Oryzias latipes: one gene and its partners. The protein of the gene in region 2 purifies or fractionates together with the protein of the main gene of each other region. This does not show direct contact. Links are inferred from orthologs where the notes say so. Each region holds a gene or a part of one and is shown on either strand. Other genes may lie near its edges.

Evidence for each region.
Region 1: the proteins of cttn (region 2) and filamin-A purify together in Homo sapiens (affinity purification with mass spectrometry; 3 studies listed by BioGRID and IntAct, with this or other methods). This does not show direct contact. The link is inferred for Oryzias latipes from reciprocal best matches to the Homo sapiens genes CTTN and FLNA.
Region 3: the proteins of cttn (region 2) and asap1 purify together in Homo sapiens (affinity purification with western blotting; 6 studies listed by BioGRID and IntAct, with this or other methods). This does not show direct contact. The link is inferred for Oryzias latipes from reciprocal best matches to the Homo sapiens genes CTTN and ASAP1.

Annotation. Positions count from the first base shown.
Region 1 is NC_019865.2:4,665,197-4,667,571, reverse strand, and holds the end of filamin-A, read right to left. Parts: intron 2,348-2,375; coding exon 2,129-2,347; intron 2,057-2,128; coding exon 1,859-2,056; intron 878-1,858; coding exon 693-877; 3' UTR 572-692; downstream 1-571. UniProt on the Homo sapiens protein: Promotes orthogonal branching of actin filaments and links actin filaments to membrane glycoproteins. Anchors various transmembrane proteins to the actin cytoskeleton and serves as a scaffold for a wide range of cytoplasmic signaling proteins.
Region 2 is NC_019861.2:2,175,503-2,179,068, forward strand, and holds the end of cttn (src substrate cortactin), read left to right. Parts: intron 1-83; exon of another isoform or gene 84-185; intron 186-385; coding exon 386-457; intron 458-1,473; exon of another isoform or gene 1,474-1,542; coding exon 1,543-1,679; 3' UTR 1,680-2,948; downstream 2,949-3,566.
Region 3 is NC_019878.2:21,063,685-21,067,341, forward strand, and holds part of asap1 (arf-GAP with SH3 domain, ANK repeat and PH domain-containing protein 1), read right to left. Parts: intron 3,481-3,657; coding exon 3,252-3,480; intron 938-3,251; coding exon of another isoform or gene 869-937; intron 480-868; coding exon 318-479; intron 1-317. UniProt on the Homo sapiens protein: Possesses phosphatidylinositol 4,5-bisphosphate-dependent GTPase-activating protein activity for ARF1 (ADP ribosylation factor 1) and ARF5 and a lesser activity towards ARF6.

The DNA of each region.
Region 1 (2,375 bases), on a different chromosome or scaffold from region 2:
TGTCATCAGTGTGGAGCAAGCACAGCTGCAACAAAGCACTACGAGCCTTCCTCCTGTGTTCAAACTTTTCCACACCTCCTCCTCCTCATCAGAACAGCAGAGGCAACAACTGGGTCACACTTAGCAGCAAATAAACAACCAGGTTAGTTAAAGATCGTCATGAACACCACATGCTGGGGAGAGCAAGCAGTCACTGAACATGCAAGACTCCACAAGCGACAGAAGACGACCTTTCAACAATCCAATAAAATCTAAGGAAAGCATGAAGCTCCTAAAACTGGTGGATCTGTTCATCACAGGGAAGCTACAGTAAATATTAACCTTCCAGCCAAAGCAGGGCCCCACCACCTACACGTGTTCTTCTATCCCGAAGTTCTGCTCCAATCCAGACGGATCTAATCCAACGCCCACTGAAGGTGGGAAGTGTGGAGGGAAGAACAGCCGAGTGCTACTTTACAGTAATAAAAAAGGTGCATCTTTCTCTCCCTAAAGTCTTCCGATTGTTGTGAAGAGCAGAATGAAACAAGTGTAGTGACAACTGATTAAAAACCCATCTGAAGTTGGTTTTAAATAGTTCTATCAAAACAGGAAAGCTGAATCTGAAACTTAGAGCGGCGGCGGCGGTCTGTAAACGACAACAGGCAGGACAAGATTCAGTCGTTTGGAACAGTGGTAAGTTATGATCTGTGGCTTTAGACGGTGATGTGGTAGGGGCTGCCGGGGATGTGCTCGTCTCCCCATTTCACCACCAGGATGTACTCCCCCTTCTCCTTCAGCTGGTAGCTCACATTGTACACCCGGTTGCCCAAATGCTTCACTAGGATTTCCTCGCAGGGGACCTTGGGACCATCCACGCCGACCAGGAGCATGTTACGACCTGAAGGAAAGACGCAGGGAAACCACTTTACTACAAACATTTGAGAAATGTTAATGTTGAGGGACATCACCCACTTCCAGCTTCCTCTATTTACATCAAAACAGTTTCTTCAATTAAGGAATTTATCACTTCAATTTATCATTTAAAAAAACTACACATTTGCATTTGATTCTTCATCTTCTGTTTTTTGTCATCTGGAGGTTCTACATTACCAGCTCTTTATTATCTGCAGACGAATGATACCAAAGACGAGTGTTGTGTTTTTGACAGTTTGATTTAAAGGGGAAAATAACCATTTAATTCCTGTTTAAAATCTAAAAAACAGTTATATTTATACATTGCTTTCCAGCAATACCTTCAACTATGATGGACTGGTTTTCTGTCATGCTGTAAAAAGAAAACATATGCATGCTCCAAAAGTATTAAAATGTTGAAAATGATTAAGCTTCTTTTGCAATTTGACCCCAGGCAAGGATTAAAGAAAGTTTATGCATCAAGTCAATAATTTTTCAACCATCTTTGATAATTTATTTTTAAAGTTTAGACAAAGACTTTTTTCAGGTTTTGAAGAAAAACTACTGAAAATAAAGTTTCACACATGCAATGAAGCCAAAAAGCAATTCAGAGACTTAAAAAAAAATGTTGAATATTCAAAGTGAAGCCAATAAAAAATAAAAAAACATCAGTTTGCTACCATGAATGTTCTGCTGTGCACGTCTTAAAACCGGTTTTCCTTTCTGTCTATCACTAAATCCTAATTATCCTTTATTGAACTGAGGCAAGTCACTCGAGTATCATTTTGTAAACCTTAATTTTTTTTTCAGAAAAAAAAAAAAACTGTTCAAGGCTAAGTGCAGAGAGGTTCACGTTTAAAAAAAATTTTTTTGCATTTACAAAAATATTTTCCATCCAGACCACTGAAGTTTCAGATTATACGACTATGCTAAAAGAAATAAAGTATGTCGTCTATTCAGCACTCACCTGCTTTGCTGCAGTCCACACAGAAGTTGTTCTTCTGACCGATGAAGCCTTTGGTCAGGCCCGGACCTTTAGCCACCACCTTGCTGGCATCTGAGTGGACAGGAGCTCCCTGCTGAGAGCAGCTGATTGCTCGGGTCACTGGGTCGACCATGACTGAGGAGGTTTCGTGCATACTGTGGCTGGAAACCAGCTTGGAACCTGAAGAAGAATAAATAATGATTTTTTCTAAGCATTTGAGTTTAAGTTCCAGGAAGAAACCCCTTTCCTCACCTGTGATCTTGGCTTTGAAGGGGCTTCCCACGATGTGGTAAGGGCCGCCATATTTGATGGAGATTAGATAGTTGCCTGGCGCCATTGGGGTGTATGTGACTTTGTAACCCTCGGGGCATTCCACGCAGTCCATCTTCACCTTGGAGGGCCCGTCGATGGTCACGGCCAGGGCGCCGGGGCCCGCAGTGCTGGTGTTTACCACAAACTCGCATGCGGTTCCTTGAGGGTTGGAGAACAGTTGTAGTTT
Region 2 (3,566 bases):
CTTGGTTTTAGTCTGGATTTCTGTGAAGTATTTAGCCTGTCTGTGGGGTGAAGGTTCTTAAACTCCACAGACATCACACTGACCTCCAAAGCAGCAGCTTCTTCTCCGGTTGATGATGGTTTCAGCCGTCTTCGTCTTTCTTCATCTCTCCCATCATTCAAAGGTTTCCTGGATGTGACGTCCTCCTGACACGTTAAAGGAAAACACACTGATTTGTGCTGATCAGGACTCTAGCCTGTCTTCTGCCTGACAGACAGAGCTCAGGGCACAGCAGGGATTGGTTTACATCCTAGGCCGTCCAAATATGGGGAATCTGAATATTATGGGCGTGTCAGATGTTTGGAGGGAAGGGCGTCTGATTGGACCTGCTGTATTTGCTCTTTAATAGATGATCAGCAGTTCGAGTACGGCGAGGACCTCGGGGTGACCGCTGTGGCGCTGTACGACTACCAAGCAGGTGAGGAGGAGGAGGATTCCGTTCTCAGCGGTTGACTTCAGCTGCACCTTCAGGGTCTGAAGCCGACAGCCCAGAGAAAAAGACGAGCTCTGTCTGACACATCAGGGTTCTGTTTGAACTCCTTCAGAGGCTAGAATGTCTTTCTTTTTGGAATCTAAGGGTGTGTTCAGACTGGACACGTTTGGTTCCCTAAGTGAACCAGAATTCGCTTTTCCAGATAATCTGGAACAAGTTTTCAGTCTGAATCCACCCAAGAGGACTCTGGTCCAGGACCAGGAACCGCTCTGTGACCCACCTTTGGAGGTGGTCTGGGTTCGTTTCCAATCAGATTCCTCAGCCTGAATACAATCCGTCCTCGGAGCGGAACATCTGGACCCACCGGGCCACCGTAGCCGACCTTAAAACGCTTCTGACAGGCTTTTCTGTGTGGTTACGGCCGACAAACGCCGCTGTGACGTCATCCTAAAAGTTACCTTGTAGTTCCTGAACAGAATTCTTCAAATCGACGCCATAACTGCACAACGATGAGATGCAGAAACTCATTCAGACTATTGGAAGGTGATCCACATCACTTCTCACCGTTTTCCTGACTGTCAGAAACACATTCGTGTTCTTCTGTCCGTCACCGTCCTGCAGCCTGACGTTGATGCAGACGTTCACATCTGTCAGTGAATCTAAAGTCTGAAGGAACTGAAAGTGCAGGACTTCCATCATTTCTGTCTCTGGTTGCTTTGCCCCGCCCTCCTAACTCCTGACCAATGAGTGAAGAGGTCTGCAGTCACATGGTTTTGTTGACAAGCTTTAGTCTGGAACAGAAAGGCTGCCTGACAGCCGTCTGAATATAGACCCAAGACAAGGTTCAGGACTCGATCCGGGTCAGAACCAAACGCTTCTCCGGTCTGAACACAGCCTACTACTCCTTTTTTAGAAAGCTAAAATTAGATGAAACTCCTGTAATTTATTTCCGTTTCTTTATCTCGACCTTCAAAATGCGAGAATAGGATTAAAGAAAATACCTTTTTGGAGGCGGAGTCTGTTTCCAGTGTCTGCAGATGGTTTTCTAACATCCATGTTTTCCGTCTCAGCTGGTGACGACGAGATCTCCTTCGACCCCGATGACATCATCACGAACATTGAGATGATCGATGAAGGCTGGTGGCGTGGCGTGTGCCGAGGAGCCTACGGCCTCTTCCCCGCCAATTACGTGGAGGTTCGGCAGTAAGGAGCGGCGGAGGGCCAGCCCCTCCCCCGGAGGCGGAGCCTCTGCCGCGGTCTTCCCTCCCTTCAGCTCATGTTCGTGATTGGACACAGAGAGACGTCGTCGCTCCTTTTCCCGCCTCAGACCGGCTTTCAGGTCAGGCGGCCTCCGATCTGTCATTCAAGTCATTCCACAGGTTTAGCCCCCCCTGCATCAGCGCGCGTTTATTACCCCCCCCCCCCCCCCCCCCCCCCCCCCCCCCCGGTGCAATCTTCACCAAAGAGTTGGAGTTGGTTTAAAGAACAGCAGAAGAACGGTTCTGCTGAGAGGTCCAGAGCGTCCTTCCTAGCTTCTGTCCGCCTGCGTCTCCTGCGCCGTCTGCGTCGTCTGCGCCGTCTGCGTCGTCTGCGCTCCGTGCTCGAACCCTCCGCAGGAATCCCTCGTCTCCGGCTGCTTCTGTGTTTTCTGGATGTGAGGCTGCCGCCGGCGTTGAGCAGATCCCGCGTGGATCCCGGCGATGTTCGGGACCCGCGCTCATCCTGAGTCCGCCTCGCCGCAGTGCAGCTGAAACATCCGCTCATCTTTGGGGAAACGGATTTAAAAAAGTGACCTTTTTCAAACGTTTGATCTGAAACACCTCTCTGCTTCAGTTTCATCATTATCTGCTCTTTTTTTTTAAAGTTTCAATAAATAAACGGAATAATATTTTTTCTGTGCTTCATTTGAACAAAGTGAGATATTAAAATAATCTGAAATGAAGATGAGGGGGAGGGGCTTATGGCGTCTTTAACTTTATGTACATCCATATTTTTTTACTTGTTGCTTCCTTTCCCCTAAAATGCTGTTTCTTTCAAGCCCGTGAGCAGAAGATGCTTAACTGTAAAGCAGAGCATGAACGCAGAAAACACGACGCCATTTATGATGTTCAGATCCGAATTCTAGGAAAATGTTTGGATGTTTAATGCACTTTCACTGTCTGAATTATCAAAAGAAAGCTGATATTTGATGTTTTGGAGCCTCAAATGTCCAAACGCAGCTGCTAAATGCAAAGGTTTTTCCAAACGGATCCCTTTTAAGATGCGTTTAGACGTTCCTGCTTTCAGGAAGCCAGCAGCAGTTCTGATCTGTCTTCATGTTAACGTCTGAGCACAAAAACATTCAAAGTCTCTTCATTCGGTTAGTTTGGATCCTTTAAAGACCCACTCTGATGGAAAAATGTTTGTAAAATGTTCTTGTCCCATTTTCTTCTCATGGTTGACACACACATATATACATAAAAGGATTAAAATTGCATTTGTATTTGTTTTCATGCTAATTGTTAATCAGAAGCCGACGGTAATCCGTTCTGATCAACAGATCCATGAACGTCTGTGTTTTCCTGGTCTGAGCTGGAGTCTGGATCAGAACCGGACGGCTGGATGGCTCTGACGTTGCTCATCACTTTCTGTTGCACCGCTAATATAGAGACCGTGTCCCACAGCCACTACGTACATGTTTCACATATTTCACGGATGGAAACTGGTCATACGTGAAAACGGAACAATGGTGGTTCTTTGGGATATTTTCACAGATGTTTCACATTAAAACATTAAAACCACGGAACACGTAGAACACGTAACCCCGCGCTGCATTGAGCTTCTTTACTCTGAGCAGAAATCACGTCAGCACCATGGTCAGCGCCCGCCGCCGGCCCCTCGCCACGCTTTACTCAGTTGGATTCTTCTGATCCAAACTAGTTCTGAGTCAGCTGCTGGCCGAGCCGGACGGGGGGAGCGGAAGACCCCTACTCGGTATAGACTGCTGGAGGGGGAAAAAAAATAGACCAATCACACTTGAACCGTGTGCGAGTTGTGCGTCAATTAGGCCTTTTTGACATATTTGTGTCGTATACGCGATATAAAAGTTATACAT
Region 3 (3,657 bases), on a different chromosome or scaffold from region 2:
TTATGCATTTGATAAATCGGATGGAGCCCTTTGATGTTAGACGCCCGCCTCCAATCTAGACGAGGGTCATTTGGAGTGTAATTTGTTATGTTGACTTTGATTAAAAAGAAACTGTTGCAGTGAAATGGAAGTGATGCATTTAGATTTTTTTCTATTTGTTTATCTATCGCAAGTTATATCGTCATCGGAATATTGACCACCTATATCGCACGTTTTCCTCATATCGTGCAGCCCTAGAAAATGCTAACAAGTTTTTGGTCTAATTTTATGAAGACTTTACTTCCTGGGGCTGCTGCTCATGTGTGCTTGCGGCTCACCCCCGGATAAGCCCCCTTTACTGTGTGGACTGTGACAGAGAGGGCCGGGTGGGTCAGACAGGGTGCGTTTGTGTCCGGGAGGAGGGGGCGGAGGTCTCTTCTTGGACAGGGTGGAGCTGCCTCCTGTCGTGAGTGTGGAGAGAGGGCCGGATGGGGGAGGAGCTGGAGGAGCGACACATAGGACAGGTGAGGCGGTGAGGTCCAAAACAAACGGAGAAAGTTTCACGTCCAGAGCAGGTAAAGGGGGGAGTGCCGAGGAAGAGGAGTGACAGACAGCAGGAGCAGGGCTTTGTCCGCTGGACGTCTGCCGACGACTTTTGTCATTTATGAAAGATAAGGTGAAAGCAGCTAGCAGAGAGCTCAGCCAGAGAGGTATCAGCTGTGGCTAAGAGTTTACAGCTCAAAGATGGCGGGTCGTCAATCTAAATACATTAAAAAACTGAAATCATCTCAGAAAGACAGCTTCAGGTCTCAATAACACCCCGTCCATCTGAGCTGTAAAGAAGGAAACAACCGAGGGGTAAAGGGGAGAACTTAAACAAGATATTCACTGATGTATGGTCGAGTGCCAGCCAGTGTGGCGTAGTGCGAATGAGAGCCAAGGAATGCCAAGTGAGGAGCTGAAAGAATAGAGAAACAAAAAAAGAGAAAGAAAACAGAGCGAGATGAGGAGTGTGGGAGACAATCTACAAGCATGTCAGTCTCAGAAAGAGCTGCTCCCACACACCGGAAAAATAACAAGATGAGATTCTATCAGTGACAAGTGAAGCAAAAGACAAAAAAGAAAAAGAAAAAAAAGGGGAAACGGTGTGAGGCTGGCCCCCGGGGGGGCCGGCTCCTCGGCACTGAGCTGCGCCAATGCAGAGCCGTGAAGAGTTAGCCTGTCATCCGTGTTTTTATCCACTCTTTTACTGCAGTACAGCTTTGCAACTGGAAGTGGCAGGCCTGCAAAGCTTTAGATTTACACACATAGAAGCAAGAATAAACAGCAACAACAACAACTTTTCTCATCAACAAAGGTTACACGTGCAACCCTCTGCTGCAAAGGTTGTCCATCGCCAGCCTTCCTTTCAGAGAGAAAGTAAATGACCGGCCAGACTGCAGGTTGTTACGCTGAAGGTCACAAATTCACATCCGAGCAGCACGATTCGAACAGATAACAGATTACTGGTTATAAGACATGAACAAGCATTAGTAATGCCTTTATAAGCATCTTATTACCACCTGTAGGACAAAACATCTATAAATGTTCTATAAGCATCTAATATGTTTGTAGAAGATCTACAAATGTTATTACATGTCTTAAAAAATGTCCAATGAAGGCTTATAAACACATTACTAACAGTTGTTAATGTTTTATTAAGACTTTACAAGTAATAAACTTATTTTTAAGCATTATGGTGACACCTATAAGGGATTAAAATCATTTATACTGTCCTATAAATGTTTTATAAATGTTTAAAAACATATTATAAATTCCACATAAAGACTTTAAAAATGCTAATAAATCTCTTTATAAGCATCTTATTACCACCTATAATAAGACCTAAATAATAATTAATGTCTTAATCAATTTCCAATAAAGGTCTACAAACACATTACTAATAAATGTTTATGTCGTATAACTAGATTATTAAGGGATCTTATTATAAAGCGTTGCCACTACACCCAGCATAGTTTCCTTTAAATAAATGTTCATATTTCTGTGCATCTATAACAGAACTCAATCTGTCTGTTTACAACCTCAAAGCTTTCTGAAAATGCAGAAAACGAGGACACCTGTCAGAGCACGGGCACGGACAAATCTGTGCTGGATCTGCCCGAGTGCTTTTTATTTGTGATAGGTCGGAAAACTGCTAAGGTAACTGGGAACTGTGTTTTCTGCGATCGTCTCGGGTGATGGAGGAGTGTTGTCTTTAACCTGAACTGCAGAGTCAGCGCCCTCACTGTGTTCTCTGCGTCCACGCTAATAAAGGCGTATGACCGAATCACAACTGCCCCCTCCGCCCTGCAGCCGTGTTTTCTTTAGTTTGCTATGTAAGCTAGACTGCATTCCGCCGCTGCTGCTAGTGGTAATGGAAGCCGGAGTAAAGTCATTAGAAATCTCTCCTGAAATAATCAAACATGCGCTGCGGTTACATGTGCAGAGTATCAGAATTGAACTGCAAAATAATGGCATCCGATTACAATAAAACGTTTACGTACGCCACACTTTCGGTCGGCATAAATCATCGTGACATGCGCAGAACTCTCTAAAATACCGGAAACGTCCGTAAAATACAATTAATATGAATAAAGTTTAGCTTAAATTACAAAAGGAGTTTATTCAAATATACCTCTGGTATGTCAGAAGACTCATAACCTCTGTTTTAACAGTAAAATGTGTCCAACACAAGAGGCTTTCAGCTCTCATCTGTTTGCTCAGCTGTGGGACAGGACAACTTTAAAAAAAATTAAAAAAAGATTTATTATTGTTATGATTATTATTAAGTGGCTGTTCTCCTATAATTATTTTAATTCTGTGCGGCCGGCCGGTCCTGTTAGCCTCCTCTGGAGCGCCACACCGTCTATGCCTGACTTAAAAGCCAGCGCCATAGTAACCCACAATCGGAATGAACTGTTTACATGCACCACGATCGGATCAACCATCGGCATAACCCCCCTCCTCAATCGGAAGGAAATTCTGATCCGAATGAGTCTGATCGGGGCAGAATATTCCAGACGGCGTGTTTAGATGACGCATTTTTATTCCCATCAGGCGTTTACTCCGATTACTTTTGTCCATGTAACCGCAGCTACTAACAGACGTACTGGTTTCCAGGTGTTCTCCTAACACAAGAGCTTCTCTTTTGCATCTCCCTGTCATCAGCACGTTTGGATCCACCAGACAGTTACTTAAACCGCAGCCGCCCGCTCCTGCACAGCGTGTCTGACCTTTGCCCTGGTTCCTGGGAGGCAGTGGCGGCCCGTCCGCCACGGGGGAGGAGCTGAGGTCGGTGGAGGCGCTGTACATCTGGTTGGTGAAGGCGCTGTAGGACAGGCGCTGCTGCTTGTCCCTCTGGCTGATGAAGCCCGGCAGGGAGAGCTTGTCGTGGGGGGAGAGGCTGGAGGAGTGGCAGAAGCTCTGAGGCCTCGGGGAGCGGTCCTTCTTGATGGGACTGGGCTGGAGGGGACATGAGAGTGATAAGTTGACTCAAAACTAGAACTCTATGAAAAAAGTCCACTTTTATCAACGTGTCGAGTCCAGAGGATGTTTTTTCTGGATCACACCGGCCTCCTCACCAAATTTTACCTCATTGAGGACAAACTCCTTTTGGTATCTACAGAGGACATTTGGGAC